3 linked regions of the Alligator mississippiensis genome follow. The protein of the gene in region 1 purifies or fractionates together with the protein of each later gene. This does not show direct contact. Links are inferred from orthologs where the notes say so. Each region holds a gene or a part of one and is shown in the gene's direction. Other genes may lie near its edges. The genes, in order: PFDN4, PFDN1 and PDRG1.

The links.
Region 2: the proteins of PFDN4 (region 1) and PFDN1 purify together in Homo sapiens (affinity purification with mass spectrometry; 5 studies listed by BioGRID and IntAct, counting the BioPlex papers as one, with this or other methods). This does not show direct contact. The link is inferred for Alligator mississippiensis from reciprocal best matches to the Homo sapiens genes PFDN4 and PFDN1.
Region 3: the proteins of PFDN4 (region 1) and PDRG1 purify together in Homo sapiens (co-immunoprecipitation; 3 studies listed by BioGRID and IntAct, counting the BioPlex papers as one, with this or other methods). This does not show direct contact. The link is inferred for Alligator mississippiensis from reciprocal best matches to the Homo sapiens genes PFDN4 and PDRG1.

What each region holds. Positions count from the first base shown.
Region 1 is NC_081832.1:10,888,887-10,896,737, reverse strand, and holds the start of PFDN4 (prefoldin subunit 4), read left to right. Parts: upstream 1-4,835; 5' UTR 4,836-4,916; coding exon 4,917-4,940; intron 4,941-5,192; coding exon 5,193-5,300; intron 5,301-7,538; coding exon 7,539-7,682; intron 7,683-7,851. UniProt on the Homo sapiens protein: Binds specifically to cytosolic chaperonin (c-CPN) and transfers target proteins to it. Binds to nascent polypeptide chain and promotes folding in an environment in which there are many competing pathways for nonnative proteins.
Region 2 is NC_081832.1:43,034,992-43,042,611, forward strand, and holds the start of PFDN1 (prefoldin subunit 1), read left to right. Parts: upstream 1-4,556; 5' UTR 4,557-4,629; coding exon 4,630-4,662; intron 4,663-4,991; coding exon 4,992-5,158; intron 5,159-7,620. UniProt on the Homo sapiens protein: Binds specifically to cytosolic chaperonin (c-CPN) and transfers target proteins to it. Binds to nascent polypeptide chain and promotes folding in an environment in which there are many competing pathways for nonnative proteins.
Region 3 is NC_081832.1:1,555,260-1,562,506, forward strand, and holds the start of PDRG1 (p53 and DNA damage-regulated protein 1), read left to right. Parts: upstream 1-4,246; 5' UTR 4,247-4,277; coding exon 4,278-4,361; intron 4,362-4,452; coding exon 4,453-4,528; intron 4,529-5,761; coding exon 5,762-5,836; intron 5,837-7,032; coding exon 7,033-7,113; intron 7,114-7,247. Other genes in the region: XKR7 (XK-related protein 7), read right to left, coding at 3,750-3,916. UniProt on the Homo sapiens protein: May play a role in chaperone-mediated protein folding.

The sequences.
Region 1 (7,851 bases):
TCCACACAAGAGGGTTGTGCCAGCTAAGCTATGCGATACCAATAAAGCAGAGCAGCTTCAGTATATAAAGGCCTATGCTAACAATGCTTCATCTAGTTTAATTTATGAGAAGTGTAAAGCTTTATCTATGTTACAGTTTTGCCATGTTGGGTAAGGGTGTGACATGATCATGTCTTCCAGCTGATGTAGCTGTATGAACAACCCCTCCCCCCCAACACACACACACACACACACACACACACACACACACACACACACACACACACACACACACACACTTCCCATCCCAAAATCTGGGTGCAGAAAAGAGCATCTACTGTTTGGGGCAGTAGATTAGTTAAAATGGCAGAAAAATTCCTTCTGCCACCACATGCCACATTGCCAGTAGAAGGCTCTGATAAGTCAGCGTGCTCATGCCAGCTGCTGCCCTGCAATGCTGACAAGGCCCCAAGACTATCAAAATACAGTAAAGTGTATTTTAAATGCCATTTCCTCTCTGATTTTAATAAACCTTGTTTTAAGGTACTCTGCTATTATGTGAGTTTGAAGCCCAACACCTGAAGTCCAAAATTGGAAGTCCAAAACCATCCTTTTATTCTTAAGCAAAGACTTAGAATTAATTCTCTTCTCCCATTGAGTTGTGTTGCCAAAGACATCAACAAATGAGAAAAGGGAATTGTCCAAAGAAGTAGTAAGGAAATATGAGCTAAAGGGAAGTCTAGTAACAAATACTAAAGGGCAGATTGATAGAATGGGTCCCACCACGCACAAGGTGAAGCTAACCACATTTACAACAACAATGAAACAATAGTACAAGAAAGAGCAAGTCCCATTATGCAACTGGAAGAAAAATGAGGTGAGTGAGTTCAGGGAGTTTATTTTCTCCAACCACTGGAAACCCTTTCACACAGATTTCACTTTTATTTACATAAGTGAGAACTACAGAAAGTTACTCTTAGCAACACAAGCATACCACAAATCCTGCCTGAGCATGTGAGAGAAGAAGCTTTTATTCAAAGCCATCTCATTCTTACGAAATCCACTCCTTTTCCCTTGAAGAAAGTTAAACTGGCTCAGACAAAACTTGTATTATTAAGCTAATGCACCTGTAGAAATGACCATGGCCCAAATCATATCCTTTCACTTAAAAGTCTTTGGAGGGGAAAAGATAATTTAGGCACCCCCACGAAATTCCCCTTGTTGAGCACCTAGAGCCAGGAGGGTCACTGCCTACTGCAACAGTGAGGGGAGGGAGCAGATCCCACAGATGGGCAGAAACAGTTTTCCCATCCTGCAAATTGTTGAGATTCTGACATCTTTTCCTTATCTCCGATTATGACAAAAAGTTAAAAATCTCACAAATTGTTTGGTCTGAAAAAAAAGGAAAAATAATCCATTTTTTTTCAGTTTGGGTCACTTCAATGTTTTGGTTTATTTTTTTCTTTCCTTATTATTACAAATATTCTTCAATTTTCAAATAATTAGCCTCCCCAGAATTATCAGAACATTAAAATATTTTTTTTCAATAGTTTTAACAGTCCCCCTCCCAAACTGTTTTGGAGACAAGAGATGTGTTGAAATCACTCATTTTCTAGGCAACAGTTTCATTCAGATGAATCAGGGGTTTTGGAGAAAAAAACGTTTGCTTGATATATTTCCATGGTATTCCAGAACAAACAACATTTCAACATCTCCGACTTTTAGGATTTGTGAGGAGTGAGTGCCAAACCCACACATAATTAGACAAACTCATTGACTCCTTTGGTCTGACGGCTGTATTGTCTCTCCTCCCCACCCACCCATCACCAGTCAGAAGCTGCAGAGGAGGGTTGAGGTCACCAAGACCCATCTACTAGCTCTTGAGTAGACTCATATTTTCAGCTCGTCCAAAATTAATGTATCCTAACTGCACATTAGAATAGAACAACTTCTGGGAGCTGCCCCCTCGCCTCTCTGACCTTTAAAGCATTTTCAGTCTTTTATCTGTTGTTCACAGTGTACATCTCCTGTTAACTGGATTCATCTTTTAATGACCCTTTTGTGAAGTCAGCATGATTTTTGGGGCTGATGTATGGAGGTAGGACTCAGAAGCACAAAGGATCCCATTCCAAGGAAGTTGTCAGTGTTTTACATTAAACTGTTATCAGGTAGAAGACATACCGTTATGTATGATTTGAACAGTCTCTAGGGAGGTGAGATGTAGGTTTGAATCCTCTCATGCAGAGGATGGAAATGAGCTGGAGAGAAATCGGTACAACCTGGACTGCGCAGCCTGGAGAAGAGAAGACACAGAGGGGACTCGGTGGTAGCCTATAAGTATAACAGAGGCATTCATCAGGGCTTGGGGGAGCATCTGTTCACTAAGGCCCCCCAGGGGAGGACGAGAAATAATGGGCACAAACCAATTGAAGATTGCTTCAGGCTAGACATAAGGAAAAACTTCTTTACAAGTCGAATACCGAGGGTTTGGAACAGGCTTCCCCCAGAGGTGGTACAGATCCACCCTGGCGATCTTCAAAACACGTCTTGAACCCCATCTTGCTGGGGTCATCTGCCCCCAGCCGTCTTTCCTGCCTGAGTGCAGGGCAGCTGGACCCGAGGATCTGTAAGGTCCCTTCCAGCCCCTAACAACCATGAAACTTAGGTTTCCAGGTGTTCTAATCACCAGAGCAATATGGAAAATGGGGGTGGGCAGCTCTTGGACCTCCTCTGCCTGGGTTTGGAAAGGCAGGAGCAACCACTGCTTGGCTTTTCAAAGAAGGGTATAATGAAAGTGGAGAGGACATGACATGCAGCCTTCCGTGGTGTAAGCTACTTCACTCTGGGGTAAATTACCAGGAAGCAATATTGTCATGTGTCTGCTTCTTTACTCAATGTAATCCCAGATTAGTTGCTTGGTTGCTGCAAAGCAGTTCTCCACACCTAGCATTCAGGTGCTGTAACAGTAAGCAGCTAGCTTAAGGGAGCTTGTTGCATGTCTACTCCTTATTACTTTACCTTATTACCATACCTCCTTATTAGGATAAAGTATGTATAGTATGAATAGTAATTGTGTTGCATATCTGCACCCAGAGCATGCTGACTTTATGTAGCTCCCTGCTCGTCATGTTGCTTGATTCGGATCCCAGGCTGGGACACCTCGCTTTCTCAGTGCATTGTAACCAACGGGTGCCTGTAGAAGTGCAGGAAGACTGAAGTCTGCTGGAAAGCAGTAATTAGTGTGTCTCCAGCAGCCTTCATATCTTGTGTATCAGTGTTTGCTCGCTTCAACAGCTCGACAAGCTGTAGTGTCCCTGCCATGTTGAAGCATGGGGATGCTGGTACATGAGATGCTGCACGCGTAAAAACACCCAAGGTGTTTAACACAGTTCTGGATCTCATTCTGCAAACGAGGCACCCACAAGTGTGACACATGGTAGTCCCTAACTTTTAGATAATGTTTTGGATCTATCTCTTAAGTACTTTCTATGCCCATTAACATTAGTGCCTGGCAGAGGAAAGAAAGTTAAAATGCCATAGCATGTAGTATAATATAATTGCTATGGTTCACGCTGCTGGCTTGTTAGCATAGCTTCTGGAAAGCCAACTATAGAGACATTATTGTCACAAGCAGTACATTTCTAGGAAATGGCTCCATTTAATATTGGAGTATTTACTGTATTCCTTGGACATCAGTGGGAGCTGAGGATTTACTGCCAGGAGATGCTTGGTGGTTTGCAAGGCTTGGCGAGGAGTGGAGTATCCTGACCTCAGGCAAGCCTTGCTCTGGCTATTCTGTGTTGACAACCAATTTTGCAAAAACCTTTTCGTCAAGTGAGGTTCCCTGAGGACGAAGGCGGACCACACAGCTGCATTCACACAGGATCTGTTATGAATAGTAGGCAAGCAGTTTGCCATCTCTCCATCAAATGTCTCCGAGTCTTGGCAGGCTCCATGCACCAGCTCTGCTCCTCGGGGCGGGGGGGATCTGGAGACCAGGAATTACTGAAACCAAGTGCCAAGGGCTCGGGGAGGCCAGGCCTCTTCCTGCAGCGCCGTTGTGAAACCATCCGACTTGCCCAAGCTGTCACATAAATAAGCAGGCTGCTGCGCTGGGGAAATGCCAGCCGCAGACATGCCAGCCGCCAGGATTTCCCCAAGAGCCCATCCCTCTGTTTGAAGGAAATACGTATTAGTTGCTCTTGGGGAAGGATTTGGGGAAGTGTAACTCTCCCCCACCCCAAACTTCCTTCACCAAAAAGCTTCAGGGGGTCTTGCAGAGAAATCCTGGGCTGGTCCCAGCCTCTGCCACTGACTCCCTAGGGCGCTTGGGGCCAAATCCTTTCATCCCCTGTGCCCATTTCCCAGGGTTGACTGCTGGGGCCAAGGCACACTGTGGGATTCAATAGGGCTCAGTATAAATGATAAGATTAATACATATATATATATACACACACACATATACATATGTATATATATCCAAGACATAATGTGTGTGAGTGTGCATATATATATATATATATATATATAATGCACACACACATCTCCATATATGTATATAGATTCAAAACATTATACATTTCATTATACAGTTTAAAACATTATATAGATATAGGTCTATAGATATATATAACGTTTTAAACTGCATAATGAAATGCAAACCGCATAAGCAGCGCTGCGAGCCCCGCCAGGAGCCGCCGCCGCCGCCGCCCGCACTCCCGGGCTCATCCCGCCCCCTAGCGGCTGCTCCCTTTTCTGCCGACGGATCCTTCTCCTCAAGACATCCCCTTTAAGCGGACTGTACCACCGGCGCGGCCCAATGAGCGCATCCCCGCCGCGCCGCTTCCATTCCCCCTAAGAGTGCGTGTGGGGGGGGTGCATTAAAGGGGCGGGAGGCGCCGGTGCCCCACCCCGCGGGCGGGTGGCCCCGCCCTAAGATGGCTGCCACCATGAAGAAGGCGGTGAGTGAGGCCTCCTCCGGGCGTCCGGGCGGGCGGGAGGAACGCGGCGGTTTCCTGCGAGGTGCGCAGTGTGCGAGCGCCGCCGCAGCCGTTGTCCCCGGGGGGCCCGGGTCCGACACGGGGCTGCGGGCGGGGGGAGGCGGGGTTGCTGAGCGGCCCCGGGGCGGCGCGTGGGGCTGCCGGGGCGACCCGGGCAGGGGTCGCACACTGTACAGCCCCGCAGCTGTAGCTTCGCCCTCTCTCCCTGAGCAGGCTGCGGAGGATGTCAACGTGACCTTCGAAGATCAACAGAAAATTAACAAATTTGCCCGAAATACCAGCAGGATCACGGAGCTGAAAGAAGAAATAGAAGTGAAAAAGGTACGCGGCTCCACAGCACACGTGGCGGAGACGTTTAGGTTTGGGGTTGGGGTCGGGGTCTGGAGTCGCGGGTACGGGAAAGCAAAAGGACGTTGCTTCTGCATTGGGCGTTAAAGTTGACTTCGTGCCATCTTAAAATACTGTGCGGGTATTGCGATAAAAGTATCGCCTACGCAGATCCTGGACCATCGCAGCTACGACGACACCTCTCCAATGCTAGAGGAAAATACGCTTGTTTAAGTTTACTTACTACCCTGTGTTTTCTGAGACGGTATCTGTTTCACGTCTCTCGGTGTCGCTGTCGTCCCAGATTTGAAATACTAATTCTGCGTTGGTATTGCACAGGCTGCCCCTCATTTCAGGGATGCTAACACCAGTCAGTCTCTGGGCTATCCAGAAGTGTTACACATTTTCCTCCTTGACGCTCTTTTAAAATTAAAAAAGTGTATTGGCAGTGCCTCCCAACTACATTATGCGTAGATTTGACTAGCAGAACCCTTGTTTGTTATACAAATTAATAGTTTCACAGGAGTTAGGGGTCAGAAGGGACCTGAACAGATCATCTATTCTAACACCCCCCCCCCCCCAGCAGGAGCACACGCTGGGCTTACACGACCCCAGGCAGGTGTTCGTCCAACTTCTTTTTGAACTCGCCCAAGGTAGGAGCGAGGACCACTTCCCTGGGAAGTTGGTTCCAGATCCTAGCCACCGTAACAGTGAAATATTGCCTCCTGATCTCTAACCTGAACCTATTCTCCAGCAGCTTCTGGCCATTGTTCCTCGTCATCCCAGGTGGTGCTGGGGGGAATAGGGCCTTTCCTATTTGCTCTTGATCTCCCCTGATGAGTTTGTAGGCAGCCGTCAGGTCCCCCCTCAGCCTCCTCTTGCTGAGGCTGAACAGGTTCAGGTCCCTGAGCCTCTCCTCATAGGGCCTGCCCTGTTGCCTTCCAACCAAGCAGGTGGCCCTTTTCTGAACCCTCCCAAGGCAGGCCACATCCTTCTTAAAGTGCGGTGCCCAGAACTGGACGCAGTACTCCAATTGAGGCCGGACCAATGTCATGTAGAGGGGGAGTATCACCTCTCTGGACCAGCTTGAGATGCACCTTTGGATGCACGACAAGGTGCGGTTGGCTTTGCTGGCTGCGGTCTGGCATTGGCGGCTCAAGTTCATCTTGGAGTCAATAATGACTCCAAGATCCCTTTCTGCCTCTGCTCACAAGGGGGGAGCTTCCCAGCTTGTATGTATGCTGTGGATTGCTTCTCCCCAGGTGCAGCACCCTGCATTCATTGAACTCCATCCTATTATCATCCACCCACTTCTGTAGTCTGTCTAAATCTAATTGCAGCCTCTCTCCCTTTGAGTGTGCCTACCTCTCTCCACATCTTGGTGTCATCGGCAAACTTGGACAACGTGTTTTCCACCCCCTCGTCCAAGTCGCTGATGAAGATGTTGAACAGTGTGGGCCCCAGGACCGAGCCCTGGGAGGCCCCACTATTCACATCTCGCCAGGTCAAGTACGACCCATCCACTACCACTCTCTGGGTGTGCCCCATCAGCCAATTTTTGATCCATCCAGCTGTGTAGGCATCAATGCCACAGTCACTCAATTTATTAATGAGAATGGGGTGAGAGACAGTGTCAAAGGCCTTCTTAAAATTCGGAAAGACTACGTCCACGGGAACACCATCATCCAGGGATTTAATTACCTGGTCATAAAAGGCCGTCAGGTTGGTCTGGCAGGACCTGCCTTTGATGAACCCATGTTGAATACATAGAATCAAGCTCAATAATACTAAAATCAGTAGTTGAAAAACTTGACTCAAAAGCTTTCTTCCAGTCTGGTAGGTCTTACTTTGATGAAACTGTCACTCATTTAGCCAGCTCATAACACACTTTATGATTCTTGCACCAAACCCCAACTTCTCCAGTTTAACTCATCGTTTCCTGTGTGACACTGTGTTCAGGGAGTTTGAAATTCCAGTGTTTCCTATGTCTAGGAAATAGATTACCATAGAAAGATATTGAGTATCTTGTGTAGATTTGCGCTAGTGCAATTCCATTGAAACTAATGGGGTTACAGTGTTAATATGATACTAAAGTTAAACATATTTGTAAAGAGTGTATTGCAAAGCTCAACTAGCTTGTTAATCCATTTATTTATTTATTTATTTATTTATGTATTTTGTAATAACTGATGGGGAAAAAGCAACAGCTTTCTTACTGTGTCTTGACTATAGAAACAACTTCACAATTTGGAGGATGCATGTGATGACACTATGATGCTCGATGATGATGATTCACTCCTGATACCGTATCAGATTGGAGATGTCTTCATCAGCCATTCCCAAGAGGAGACACAAGAGATGTTGGAAGAAGCAAAGGTTTGTGAGGGAGAGGGAGTTTTGTGTCGTCTTGATGCTACAGTAAGAAATAGAGATCAGTATTCCTGGAGAATGGATGGAGTGTCATGAGCAGGTTTCTCTTTCTGCATACCCTTGCTGTGACAGGGTGCAGGATCTGTCCTAGTCTGAAACTGGTTAAATTTGGCAC
Region 2 (7,620 bases), about 32 Mb from region 1:
CTAGTGCTCTTCCTTGTGTAGACAACCCCCCTCCCCCATTATAACATAGCTGAATTATGTCCGTGTTTAAACCTGGTTACTTTGGCAGTTTAGCCTGGACTACACCTTTTATACAGACAGTTTTAATTTTCCTCTAATTCTTCTCTGAACTGTAATTATTCTTACACCAAGCACAGCATGAAGCCTGATCTTTTTTTGTAAATCTTACTGACAGATTCTAAGCAATTCATACCTAGGATATGCTCAGTTCATGATCAGTGACTCCAGTATTGGGGAATTGTTTTGAAGGTCTGACTTCTAAGATCCTGCTTTGATCTCTTTTTAAATAGAGATGTCCCAATTGTTCTCGCTAACCACTAGTCACCACTGGTTCAAGTTACAAATCAGAACTAGGGGTATTTTAATTTTAGCTTCTTTGTCTCAAAGTCCGTGACAACCTTATTATGATCACATCAAGTCTAACAAGTTAAGTATTTGGTTAATACTTTGATGGGAGAGCTCCAAGGAAAACTCTGGTACTATAGGAAATGATGTGATTCATTACCAGGCACTCTTTCCTCTGAGTCAGTGTTAAATCCATTATAGTGCTAGGGGTTACCATGCAGTTGGAAACAACCATCTTTTGGATAAGACATTAACCTGAAACCCTAACCACTGGTAATTAAAGATCTCTTTGTCCTTTTTTACCATTCTAGGAGTAATAACACTACCTTCCTCATTGAAATACAACATATGCAGTTCTGACAATGCCTCTTAAGATTCTTTCTGGAATTTCAATTGGACTTCATATTCTTCCTGACCATAAATTGCTGCTATGCAGTGTTAACAGCTCCAACTTTTCTCTGCAAAAATGGCTACATTTCAGTAAAGGCTGAAATGACTCTGTCCTCCTTTGTAAAGCACTTCTGTGTCTGGATGACAGGCCTTGTATAACTGCAAAGTATTATTAATAATCATCAGTCTGGCTCTGTTTTTAGCTCCTGTTACTACTTTTTGAACTGTTCCTTTTTGAACTGCATTCTTTTGGTCTTAGGGATCTTTTCTGTGGGTCTGGCTGGTTGCCCTCACTTTTCCTGGTGAGTAATCAGACAAACAGCCCACATTCACATGCCATTCTGCCCTGTGTCTGTTACACAGCTACAGATCAGCAGATACAAATATTAAGTCTTTTGAAATGTTGATTTGCTTATAAAGTACCAGCATTCCAGCTAGGAGCAGCCTTGTTGGCATTTGTCAGCTATAACTCACTTCCTCACTCTGCATATTTTGGGGAGTATTTTACCTGGTTACCATCCTGCATGAAAAAGCAATTTTGTAGTTCACAGCATTTAAACAAAGCAGATCTGTTCCTCAGAACAAAGGAGCTGTTTTATAGGATTCTTTGTGTTGCATTATCACCTTTAGTCAGTTTCTAGTGGCTGACTTGGGGTTGATTTCAGGACACTGTCACTCTACCTTGCCACGCGAGCCCTTAAATTTGCTTCCTTAGCTTAGTTCCCCACTGAGCTCGAGGTGACATACCCCAGTAACCTCCAGTAAGCACCACACGTACTGCAATTATACTGTTTTATAAGATCATTTTGGCCCATCACTGCAGAATTCTGTAGTGTACTGGTGCCAAGGGAAGGCTATGAAGGAAATGGCTGTTCTTCATTGGCAGGTTTTTAAAATCCCTAGTTTTTGCAGCTTTACTGAAGGGGAAAAGTGCTAAACCAGTGGTGTTCAATCTTTTCATGCCACGGGCCAGATGGGCAGTGCCAAGTCCTTCCATGGGCTGGATCTGCCTGGTGGGCCTGATCTGACTGTAGGGGTTGTGCATCCTGACCCTGATCCATCCACACAGGGCAAAGGCAGTGCAGAGCAGCCCCTGTCTGGATATGCAGGGGGGGACAGAGCAGCCCTGAAGGTAGAGAAGTAATCTGGGCTTGCAGGGGGGTGGGGGTTGGGGTGGGGGCTGGTGAGCAGCTTGGTCCCAGTCCAGATGTTGGTGGGGTAGGGAGAAGGGCAGAAACCTGGCTCTGATTGGACATGTTGTGGAGCACAGCCTAGCAGTCCCAAACTGGACATGTGGGTGGGTGGGTGGGAGGGAGCAGCCTGGGTCAATTTGGATGTACAGGGGGCCATCCCAGTCCTGTCCCCGCTTTGCTGCAATGGCCAAGCAAGGCTGGAACCCGGTGTGTGAAGCTTCCACTGCTCCCCACTGCCAAGTTTTCCAACCCATGAGAGCCCCATGGGTTGGATGTCATGGCTCCATGGGCCAGATTTGCCCCACAGGCTGGAGGTTGAGGACCCCTGTGCTAGGTTATGAACAAAGCAGGCTGCTTACACACAAAAAAGGGTGAGTAAAGCAGCACAGGACAAACTCTCCCACTCAATGGTGCCAATGTATCTCAGCCCTGAGCTGGAGAGACTGCACAGTGTGTAATCCCTGTGATTTATTCAATTCCTGGCTCTATTCAGAGATTGCCAGTAAAATTAACGTTTTTTATGTGGGGTAGTGATAGTTTCTTTGAGATGGACACCTGTCCACAGGGAACTGGACCAAGACTGCCCTGCTTTTTAAAAATAGGAAGCATTTGCTGGCAACCAGCATCAGTTGGAGCTCTTTTCAATGAAGCCAAATAGCAACAAATTTTAAGTTAAGGCAAATACTTCTTTAATGAAACATCACATTAACCTATGGAACTCATTGGTACAAGTAGCTCAGTAAATTTCCCATGTAAAAAGGAATACTGTATGCAAATAATATTTGCAATTATGTTATGTTAAAATTACAACTGTTAGTGCTCATGTTTCAGGGTGTGACAATCACTGCCTGGTCAGGATTACATTTTTCCCAGTGCTGTAGTACTACACAAATGGAAAGTGCACTACGTGGGCTTCATGCCTTCCCTTGTTTGACATATGAGAACCTAGGTACACGGATGGATCAGTACTAACCACTGCTTCCAGTAAATTCAAGGAAAGTCACTAGAGCTCAGAACCATTCTGGTTTAGCCTACATACCCAAAGCACTGCACCACCCCACTCACGAATGTGAAACAAACTGTACCAAACTGGCCCCTATATCTCACCTGCTCTCTGTGACTACAAGTCCTCTGTGACCGCATGATCCTTCACTTTTGTCTCATTCTATGGGACACAGAACCATGTTCAAACTTCCAAAGAGAATTAAAACACAAAACCCCGGCATATTGGTCACTAGCGAGTGGATCTGAATTTCTTATCAAATTCATTTCCCTCAGCAAAGGCTTTTTCGTTCCTTTTGATTTACCCACTCTGTCATTTAAGACATTTCTGGTTTGTCTAAGGCAGAAAATGGTCCCTTTGATGCCAACCGTAAAACTCACGCTGACTTCAATGGGAGCAGAAATAATAACCCCTTGGACTTTCTGCTCCTCAGGCAGCGATCTAATCTTCACATTGGCTGATACAACCCTACACATGTATGGCATAATACACTCATTAATAATTACATGTACAATCATATGATACCACTTCTGGGCCCTGGTTGGTTGATGAACGTGATACATACCCAGAAATAGATACCATTTTTGTTACTCGCCTGTCTCAAGGGTATAACAGCATATTTCAATAAGCAATTGCATATTTTCTAAGTCCACAGCGCATGGACAGTAGCAGCTCAAGCTTTGGCCCGGCCCCATACTCAAATCCAAGAAAAAAGCAATTTTTCTCTTTCTGATGTCTGTGTGCACGTATGATTGTGTGGAGATGGCAAGTAAGGCTATGGGAGCAAAGGAAGGGTTTTTCTTTGCTTATCTACAAGGGTTCTAAAAGCCCTGCTCTTCCTGGTATTGGACTAATATTTACTGAACCATAATTTCCTTGGATCAGTCCATATCTTTTTAAAAAATAGATACTATTTTTGTTACTTGCCTGTCTCAAGGGTATAGCAGCGTATTTCAATAAGCAATTGCATATTTTCTAAGTCCACAGTCCAGAGTGCACAAACATCCTCTGTTTTATTGTCTGCTTACTTGCTACACTACACAATTTGTTCATTTGCCAGGAATCCCACCGCTGTTAGCAGCACCGAGCCAGGGTTGGGTCTACCACAGAAACAATCCTGCAGTGGTCCGGGCGCGAGCACAGGCTCGGCTCCTTGGGGACACGCAGCGCTGCCCTTGGGCTTCAGGGGCTCCACGCTGATGGCCACCAGGAAAGACTCTGCTTCAGTGCACAGGGCAGGACCCGAGCTGCAAGCAGGCCAGGATCTGGCCTTAACCCCTGCGGCTGCTGCTGCGGAGAGCGCTGCAGGCCCAGGTCACTGCTAGGTCGCCTGTAGCTAAGTCACACCGCAGAAAGCAGCGGGAGCAGGTGCAGGGCGGGGCGCTCAGCCGCTCCCGCACCTGGCGAGTGAGTAGAGAGCCGGGGCCGGGGCCGGGGCCGGGGCCGCGCTGATGGGCGAAAACCTCCACCTCACGCCCGCGCTGCGCCAGCAGCTCCTGGACCTGATACGCGGCCCCGCCCAGCTCCGAGCGGGGGCGGAGCTCGGCCTTGCTCCTCTCTCGGCCGGGGACAGGCTGTAGTAGACTTGGGCTCAGCGACCCTCACTGCGCAGGCGCGCGGACCCCAGACACGCGGCTGCACCGCGCAGGCGCAGGCAATATGGCGGCGCCTGTGGACCTGGAGCTGAAGAAGGTAGCGGCGCCGCGGCAGGGTCCGTCCTGCTCCTCCCGGTTGGCCCATGGTGGGGGAGGCTGCCTGCGAGGGGGCGCTCGCCCCGGCAGGAGTCGTCCGTCCTCTTCTGTCCCCTCCCCTCCCCTGGCGCAGCCTGTGCGAGGCTGCGGAGCGCTGCAGGCGGGCGGGGGCGGCCTGGGCTCGCGGGCCGGTGTCGGAGCAGCGCTGGGTCCTGGCCTGCGGGCTCGCGGCTGCCGCTGCGATTTCTGAGGGGAAAGGAAACCGCTGCGGCGCAGAGCCTGGCCCTGTTCCCCCCGGCCCTGACTGCTTCTCCCGCGCTTCTCCCTTAGGCTTTTACTGAGCTGCAGGCCAAGGTCATTGACACTCAGCAGAAGGTGAAGCTGGCAGATATGCAGATAGAACAGTTGAACAGGACAAAAAAGCACGCGCACCTCACGGACACTGAGATTATGACGCTGGTGGACGAGACACGCATGTATGAAGGTGTAGGAAGAATGTGAGTAACTTCTTTTGCAGATGAAGAAGTTAGGCATGAGTTAAAGGGTCTTGTCCTTCAAGCCTGCTGGAACCTATTGTTTTTTTGACTTGGATTGCTTTTAGGCTTGCTTCTTTCCATAGGTGACAGTGAACAATCAGGAATATGCATATGTTAGTTGCTCTCTGTCAGATCTTATCTGCTTTATTTAGCCACATCCAAGACAACTTTGAATTTAAGATGACCCCTCCCCTCAGTACTTTGATTCTGTACATGGAAAATTATAAATTTGTTGTAGTTCTGCCCCCCCCATGTAGACTCTCTTTATGGGAGGATCATCTTAATCCTCTTCCCCCCCCATCCCCCACACATGCACACCTCCATTTCTGTGGCAGGGAAAAGCAGCAGTCAGGAGACAAATGGTGGTAGGGAAAGTAATTGGGAAGGGGAGGGATAACAGGCTTCGTACCCACCTGCACTTGTCTCCTTGCCACTTCCCCTATGCGGTGATTCTGGCTCCAGTTCTGGCCCAGGACATGGAGCACACAGTGGCTCTGGCCCTGGCCTGGCCCAGTGGTGGCAGTAGCAACTCTGGCCCCTTGCCTGAGTCAGGGCTGGAGCCACCAGCACCCCTGGTGCTGAGTGTTCTCCCCTGTATGCTCCTCCAGGTTGTACACCTTGAGGCTTACCATTTACCCACTCCACTGTTGCACAAGCTACCCCAGCCTGACAGCAGGGCAGTAGCAGCTCAAGCTTTGGCCCAGCCCCATACTCAAATCCAAGAAAAAAGCAATTTTTCCCTTTCTGAAGTCTGTGTGCACATATGATTGTGTGGAGATGGCAAGTAAGGTTATGGGAGCCCAGCAAAGGAACCGTTTTTCTTTGCTTGTCTACAAAGGTTGTAAAAGCTCCGCTCTTCATGGTATTGGACTAATATTTACTGAACCATAATTTCCTTGGATCAGTCAGTATATTTAAAAAAAAATAGATACCATTTTTTGTTACTTGCCTGTCTCAAGGGTATAATAGCGTATTTCAATAAGCAGTTGCATAGTTTTGTTTGCCAGCTTCACTCATGCAAGTTCACAATTGCATTTAGGGTTTCATGAAATTTATAATCTCTACCAGCACAGTTGGTAAATACCTCATGAACACTAATTGCAAAATACAAATTTGTGAGAAGTTTATATAAGCCTGTCCAACTCTAGTGAAGTTCTTTATGTTGATGCTATATGGAGGGAATCACAATTGTTAATCTAATCCTTGCATTCATGGCCTATATTTTTGCAAAAGCTATAAAATTGCATCCTGCTTATTAGCATGATAATTAATATATATGAAAGATTTATTTTTCTAGAATTTTTTGAAAGAATATATGGAGTGCAGTTTGTGCCAGAATGTATGATCTGCCCAGGTGTGCTGGGTTGGAAAGAAGGAAAGTATAATCTCTATATATTGGAATGACTTCAAAACCAACAAAGCTTAATTTAAGCTAATGCATGTTTTGATGAAACTCTAACAATGTACTTCTGTTGTTGTGATCACACCACCTTCATAAAAGATTCCCCAACTGATTTGAGTTGATAATGCAGCTGGGTATGTATACAGGGGTGTAGGTTGTAGCCGTGTTGGTCTAAGGACATAGGCAGACAAGGTTTCTTGGGTGACTCTGATTATCTTTTATTAGACCAACCCAAATAGTTGGAAAATAATTATTAAGCAAGCTTTCGGGTTCAAAAACCCTTCGTCAGGCTAAGGAAGTTTCAGCAGTTAGTGTGTGCTCTTCCATCCAGGAAGAGCGCATACCAACTGCTGAAACTTCCTTAGCTTGACGAAAGGTTTTTGAACCCGAAAGCTTGCTTAATAATTATTTTCCAACTATTTGGGTTGGTCTAATAAAAGATATCAGAGTCACCCAAGAAACCTTGTCTGCTGGGTATGTATCGCATTCACAGAAGTTTAGTGCTGGAAGGTGTCACAACCCAAGGGTGTGATTTTTTGTTTGTGTGTGCTTTGGCACCGCTGAATTATTTTCCCGCCGTTTGAAGCTTTCTTTGCAGGGTGCATTTCTTCTTTGCAGCATAGAAATGCATGTTGCAAGGAGTTCCTGCCATTTGTATTTAAATTCGTGCCCCACTATTGGTCAGTTCTAAATTATTCCCACGTGGCGGCTAGCAATTGGCTTGCTGGCCGTATAAGAGGCTTGGGTGGTTTCTGCCCTAGTTGGAGAACTTCGAGCATGCTGCAGAGTGCCTCTACGGAGATTTGACCTGCGGCTGGCTGATTGATAGACTGATCACCTATCGATTCTTCTCCCCATCGCCGAGCGCAATCCTCGACGTATCCCTCTTTCCTGCGTGCAAAAAGTTCCACGGAGCCTCGACAACTTCGTGTGAGTCAGAGTTTTGTCCGAGTCCTTAACATAGGGATTTAAGCGGAGCTTTACCTGGGAAACTGTCCAGCCTACACCGCGACCATCTACG
Region 3 (7,247 bases), about 9.3 Mb from region 1:
GCTTCCCTACCCAATGTCACCAGTTCTTTCCCATTTCAGCCTCCTGGCTGGTAACACCAACACACCAGAAATGCCCCCTCCCGGCCCGGTACGCTCTGCAGCCAAGGACTCCTTGGCCTATTTCGAAACCTTGACCTTCTACCTTAAAATGCCATCATCAGTCTCATCAGTCACCACCGCCGCCTCTTTTCCTGCCATGGCTTTACTCCTAACTGTACTCTGAAGACTGCCCTCTCCGCTCCTGTCTTGAGGGTTTCTACCTTGGGGCACCGCTTGTGAAGAACCTTGTCAAAAGGGTCTGAAAAATCCTGGTCGATTGTATCTGCCCTCTTCCCCTCCCGCCATTATTTTAATAGCTTGGCCAAAGCTTCCCAGTGGGTCAGAGTATCAGGGTCTACCCTTAAGCCTGCCCGAGTTTGCCGGTACAGTTAGGACGAGGCTCCCAGCTCTTCAGTTCTCAGTGGCTCCTCTTTGGTAGCCGGACCCGGGGAATGCCTGCGTTCAGGACTAGAAGGGACCTGCTAGGAAATCCCAGATGGGGCCCCTGCACATGCTGGCAGCCAGCTGTGCATCCACAACATCCACTCCAGGCCCTTTCCCACACTGTAGATCTGGGGCAGCCCCTGCCCCAAAACCCCACTGCGGGCACAGGATGGGAGCGGGACACACAACGGGAGCACCGAGACCTTTGCCATGGCAGTGGCAGGCCATTTCTTGGACAAGATATGTTCAAATAGACCTAGACAGCTGACCATGCCCCATGCTAGAGGCAGGCACAACCCCCGCGGTCCTTGCACCTGGGAGGTCTCTCAATACCTCCGGGGCCACCAGCACCCCATCTCCCACCTCTCCAATGTCCAGGGCTTAAAGCTGAGAGGGGCAAGCTCTTCCTTGCTCCTTCAGGTGACCAGCAGAAGCCCTGAAGCCTGAGGCTACGACCCACCAGTCTCCTCTCACAAAGCAGGCTCTCCATTCCTCCAGCCGCCCTGGCAGCCCTGCTCTTCACCCGACACAGTTTCAGCTCATCTCTTTTGGGCCAGTACGGCGCACGCAATGACACGGTGAGGGATCGGTCCCCGATCCTCAGCCACAGCTGAGCAATCTCACGTTACAGCTCCTTCAGTACTCTCGTGCGAACGCCATCTGGTCCTAGAGATTCGTTGCACTCAAGTTATTTGAGCTGTTCCATAATCTCTTCCTCGGAGACTTCTTGCTCTGTTAATGCCGTACCGTGATTTCCTGTAAAGAATGCTCTGGGGATAGGAATTTCCTCATCATCTGCTTTAGCAAAGACTGCTGCAAGGAATTCATTTAGCTTTCCTCCAACAGCATCATCATCCCCTTTAATTCTCCTCATCCCCCCTCGGTGGTCTAGAGGCCTTACGGACACACAAGTGCTCACCCTCTGCTTTGCGCCCGTCCAGCAGTTTGTTCTCCCGGCCCTAGGAAACCTGGCACCGCGTGAGCGGATTCTGACGCTGCCGGTCACTTCCAACAGAGCAAAAAGAGTCTCTCACAAATCAATCAGGAACATTCATTCAGAGGCATATTCTTATGCATTTCTTAGGCAAAACCTTTTTAACTTCTGCAGCCCACAACCAAGCGCCAAGCCTATGTGTAGCTGCATCATCTTGAAGACTTCAGCAGCAGCTAAAGTAGTTCCTTAATGCCAAGAAGAGCCTTCAATATCTTAATGACAACCGCTCCGAGACTTGGCACAGACGGGTCTCCGAGAAGCCCTGATCCCTCACTTTTATTGCTTCTGTGCGTTAAACAGATGCTTCTTGTGAAGCGAGGGCTCCTGTTTAATTACATTAATGTAATTTACTCCATCACACATAGCAGAATTGCTGCTTCATCAAAACAGGTGCTGACTCACTTCCACAGGAACAGCTCCGTGTCTGGAGATGCCAAACCCTCAGCTGTCATTTTTGCAGCAAATAATCCATCACCGGGGATTCTGGCAACAAAAGGGGCATGCAGGCAATGGGCAGACAGATGGAAAAAGGGAAAAGGGTGCTTAATAGGCTTTACCCCAAGCAAATACCTGAGCCAGTGCTTAGCCTCCCATGCCAAGCAATACTTCTTTATACTGCCATTACGGATTTCAGAATGAGAGGCTTCCTTCCTCAACCGTCGTCTCTTTGGCCGTGAATTCTCTAGAAGGTATTGATTTTGCTTCCAGGGATTCTTGCCGTACAAGCGCGGCTCCCTCCCCGCACACGGGAACACCCCTGGCATGTGGCCTTTGAGCGGCCCCCAACAGAGATCGAAATATTCAGGTGCGAACACCTAGGCACAGTCGTCTGGTAGGCAAACGTTTCTACCAGTGGAAAAATACCACTAGAAAAAGCACCACGTCCGCACTCGGGGCTCGTGCCAAGGCTGCTCTGTTTGGCAGGGGGCACGGGCCTTTGTGCGCCTGACCGCCAGAGCTACAGCTCAGTGTGAGTCAACCGTGCAGGACAAGAAACCCCTACAGATGGACTGTACGGGGTGGTTTAGACAGGGACCACGGATGCTTATCCCATTACCCGGATTAGGTTTTGTGACCCCTTTGCTCCTGCGGGTTTACTGCCTGTTTGCTTCCCCCACCATTGCTCCACTTTCCCCGGCTTTGTCTTTGGTATTGCAATTTCTCTCTCCTTATATGCTGCTCTGGGCACGTCCTTTCGCTGCATCGGATGAAGCGAGCTGCAGCCCACGAGAGCTTGTGCCATGGATCTTGCGTCTAGATAGAGAGATCTAGCCACAGACATTGGTGCGTCTCCATGGGGAAACCGGGGGCAAATCTACACATATCAGTTCGTCTCCATGGGGCAACCCAGGGCAAATCTACATACATTGGTTAGTCTCCATGGGGCAAATCTATGCACATCAGTTCGTTTCCATGGGGCAAACTGGGGGCAAATCTACGCGCATCAGTTCATCTTCATGGGGCAAAATGGGGGCAAATCTACACACGTTGGTTCGTCTCCATGGGGCAAACCAGGGGCAAACCTACAGGTGTCAGTTTGTTTCCATGGGGCAAATTGGGGGTAAATCTATGTGCATCGGTTCGTCTCCATTGGGAAACCGGGGGCAAATCTACACATATCGGTTCGTCTCCGTGGGGAAACTGGGGGCAAATCTACACATATCAGTTCATCTCCATGGGGCAACCCAGGGCAAATCTACACACGTCAGTTTGTTTCCATGGGGCAAACTAGGGGCAAATCTACATACATTGGTTCATCTCCATGGGGCAAACCGGGGGCAAATCTATGCACATCAGTTTGTCTCCATGGGGCAAAATGGGGGTAAATCTATGTGCATCGGTTCGTCTCCATGGGGAAACCGGGGGCAAATCTACACATATCGGTTCGTCTCCGTGGGGAAACTGGGGGCAAATCTACACATATCAGTTCGTCTCCATGGGGCAAACCAGGGGCAAATCTACATACATTGGTTCATCTCCATGGGGTAAACCGGGGGCAAATCTATGCACATCAGTTCGTCTCCATGGGGCAAAATGGGGTCAAATCTACACACGTTGGTTCGTCTCCACGGGGCAAACCGGGGGCAAACCTACAGGTGTCAGTTTGTTTCCATGGGGCAAATTGGGGGCAAATCTATGCACATCAGTTCGTTTCCCTGGGGCAAACTGGGGGCAAACCTACAGAGGTGGGTTCGTCTCCACGAGGCAAACCTCCCCGGCCCCTGCTTGAGCGGAGCCTGGCGCGGCGGACTCCGTCTCGGCGCGGACGTACCTCCGAGCAGCGCCCGGGTCTGGGAGCACGGGGAGCCGGTCCGCGATCCCGCGAGGGCCGGACGGCGGGAGGACACGGGCTGTGCCAGCGTGGCGTGTGGCGGATCCAGACCCTGCCCACGGGGGGGTCACGGGTGGCTCCATGGCCGTCCCCCGTGCACCCGGCATCCCTGGGTGGCCACGTTGCGCCCCGTCCACCGCCCACGGGTGCAGCTCGGCCACGGGGCCTCACTGCTGCGGGGGGGCCGGGGGGGGCAGAAGAGGGGATTTACAGGCCCACGCGGGAAGTGGGAGGGGGGGTCTAGCAACACCCCCACGTGGCGCCCCACGCAGGACCAGGACACAGCCCCACGTGGCACCTGGGGGGGTAAGTACGCCCCCACGTGGGACACACGGGTCAGGTGGCACCTGGTGGGGGCGGGCCTTCCCAGCGCCGGGCCTGGGGCGCGGGGCCGCGTTTCCGGGAGGACGCACTTCCGGGCGGACCGGCGGCGCGCACTTCCGGGCGGGCGCACTTCCGGCGGGCGCCATGGCGCGGGAACCGGCGGCGGTGCTGCGCTGCGTGGCCGAGGTGGAGGTGCTGGCAGAGGAGACGCTGGCGGCGCGGCAGCAGGTACCGCCCCCACCCCGGCTAGGCCACGCCCCCTGGCCCGGGCCACGCCCCGCGCCCCGGGCCTCACCCCTCCCCCGCCCTCTGCCCGCAGATCGTGGACCTGGACGTCAAGCGGAACCGGAACCGCGAGGCGCTGCGTGCGCTGCACAAGGACCCGCACCCCGACGGTGAGCGCCGAGCCGGCAGCCGTCACGTCAAACGCTCAGTTCACCGGCAGCCGTTGCGTTAAACGCGTGTCGCCTGCCGCGGCTGTGTCGGTTCTCGGCCTCGGGAGAACGGCCCCGTGTTTTCCCGAGGGCAGGAACGAAGCGCGGCGACTCGGGGGCGGTGAGGGCTCGGGCGGCGCGAGCTGTCCAGGCGACGGCCGCCCTGGCGCGGGGAACGGAAGAGCGCGACGAGGCCGGGACTGCCCCAAACCGGGCTCCGGCAACCCCCGTTCTGTGACGTGTCGGGGGTCGAGGCGCTGGCGCCGCCCGCAGCCCCGGCTGCACCGTGCCGATGCTCCCGCTGACCTGCAGGTCCCGGCTGCCGGGTCTCGCCCCTCTGCGCCAGGCCGACCGACGCCGTATTTGGGGTCAGGAAGGCGTTTTACCCCGTGGTCCGACCGTCCCTTCCAGCCCGACTTCCCTGCAGTTTTTATGCGCAGAACAATTCACCGAAGCTTCGTTTGGCGAGGCAGAAGGACGCCAACGTTGACACGAACGCCCAAGTTAGGGTTGAGCTCGCAGGAAAGCAATACGCTTTTTAAATTTACAGAGGGTAAATGTGGAAGGATATGGTTTATATGAGAGGCAAGAATTTCTTAGGGTGATCTCTTGTATTGCACCAGCTGCGTCGCTGGGATAGAGTCAGACAAGCTTTCAAACGCAAGACGTTCTTCTTTGGGGCCGTGGTCGCAGCTCGTCTGGCTCTACCCCAGCCGTGCAGTTGAGCCGATAGAAAATATCGCCCTACAAAATCCTTGCCTCTTGCATGACCCCTGGACCATCGCCGCTACAACATCACTCGTACGCTCCCGTACTCATATTTTATAGTCATCTTCCAGGCGAGAACCGCACTTCAAAGTGGCAGGCAAAGCCTCCTCTCCACAGTAAATATTGCTTCATTTCTGAGTGGTGAAACAAAATAAAGCCCGCGCGCAGTCAGCGTTCATCTGTGCATGGGTGGATTGTTTGGTGACTAACTCACCCTTGCACGGGTCTTATGAGACTGAATCACATTTAATTGCCTGTAGACGCTCTCCTAAGTGATGCTGCAGACTGATGTTGAGCATCAAGGGGCCTTCAAAAATTAGCCCGTTTGTTGAATTTTGCATTTGGTGTGCACCTGGCAGGAGTGCGGGGAGGAGCGGTTTTCATTCGGAAAATGTTTATTTACAAAAGCTGCCTCTCTCTTTGTAGGTGACGCGATGGTCTGCTTTGGAAATATGTTTATTCAGCTTCCAAAATCAACGACCAAAGAAATGATGCAGAAAGGTAAGTTCACTGCCAGACTGACAACTTGCTTGTGATTTTGCAAGCTGCGTTCCCTTTCCTGCCTCTCCTTGGATACATACGTGGGGCGTCCCGTGTCGCAGGAGTGCTTGTATTCACTGGATTGACGGCTGGGCCACTTTGTCTTTTCCTACCTTGTAGTGGGTTGTACGCTGCTGCTGCTAAGAAAGACCCAGGCCTCCTTGTGAAGTGTCTTGGAAGCCTTTGCTGTGAGAAACCCAAATGGGATGTTAGACTCCATGAAGAATGGGTTGGGAAATAACCCTGAAAATATCTGAATGCCATTCAGGAAGTTGGTGGTACACACTCACCCAACTACTTTATGCTGCATTGGTCACTTCCTCGTAGAGGGAATACAGCAGAAGTAGAGGGGCTTCAGAAATGAGTATCAAGAGGACCTTTGCTGTCCTCTTGAGGTTGAGATACTTTGCCTTGGTAGAAAAGCTGAGTGATGAAAAGATACAAAACTATGAATGAATGGCCTCGAGAAGGTAGATCAGGAACTCGTATTCACTCCCTCTCACGATAGGAGGAACTAGGGGCATTCATTGAAACTGAAGGTTGGTTGGTTTGTTTTACAACGGCACAAAGGTAACCAGATGGAATTCCTCAGCCTGTGTTTTACGGAGGCCAGAGTGGGTAATGTAAGGGCCCCTCTGGCCTTAACACCTGTGAAAACAGGTGAGTATTTTGGTGGAGCACAGAAGCTTGGACTTCTAGGAGCTGCACGCTCATATACGCCTGCACAGGCATCTGTCCTCCCTCCCCTGTCCCCAGGAAGATAGTACCTGCCCCTCCAAACGTACGTTACTCGGAAGACCCAGCTGTTTGGCTTCCAGCCTGGAGATGGCACATCGTGTTCAAAGGTCATGCTGGCATTACAAATGGACTCATACCTCTGCCATCCAGTTCATTATACTTACTTGGAAAGGGGGAATCTGGCAAGCGCATTTTCTGGGAGAACCGGAACAGGGTTATGTTTCTTATGTACCAGTATGATGCAGCCAGCCTCCTGACCCCAAGAATTCACGGAGAAGGCAAGAGAAGAGGCTTCCCACTCTGTGCTGGAGGTTCAGATTGGAATAGATTTGCCAGAAGTAGCTGTGAATTTGGGGGGTGCTGGTTGCTCTCAAACGATATTCTAGAATGTTTCATTACTCCCGTCGCTGCTTTCTCAGATCAGGAGCACTTGGATGAGGAAATAAACACCCTTCGGAAAGAGCTGAGAGTGAAGGTCAACCATCTGTTTGAAGCGCAAGGTATTGTGACAGGGTCTGAAACCACGTTCAGTGTCCCAAAACCCAGGAGCGGAGTATATTCCTGGAACAGTGACACCTCTGTTCTCTTCAATGCAAAAGTCACGTATTGTCTAGCTTTTAGAGCACGTGGCTGT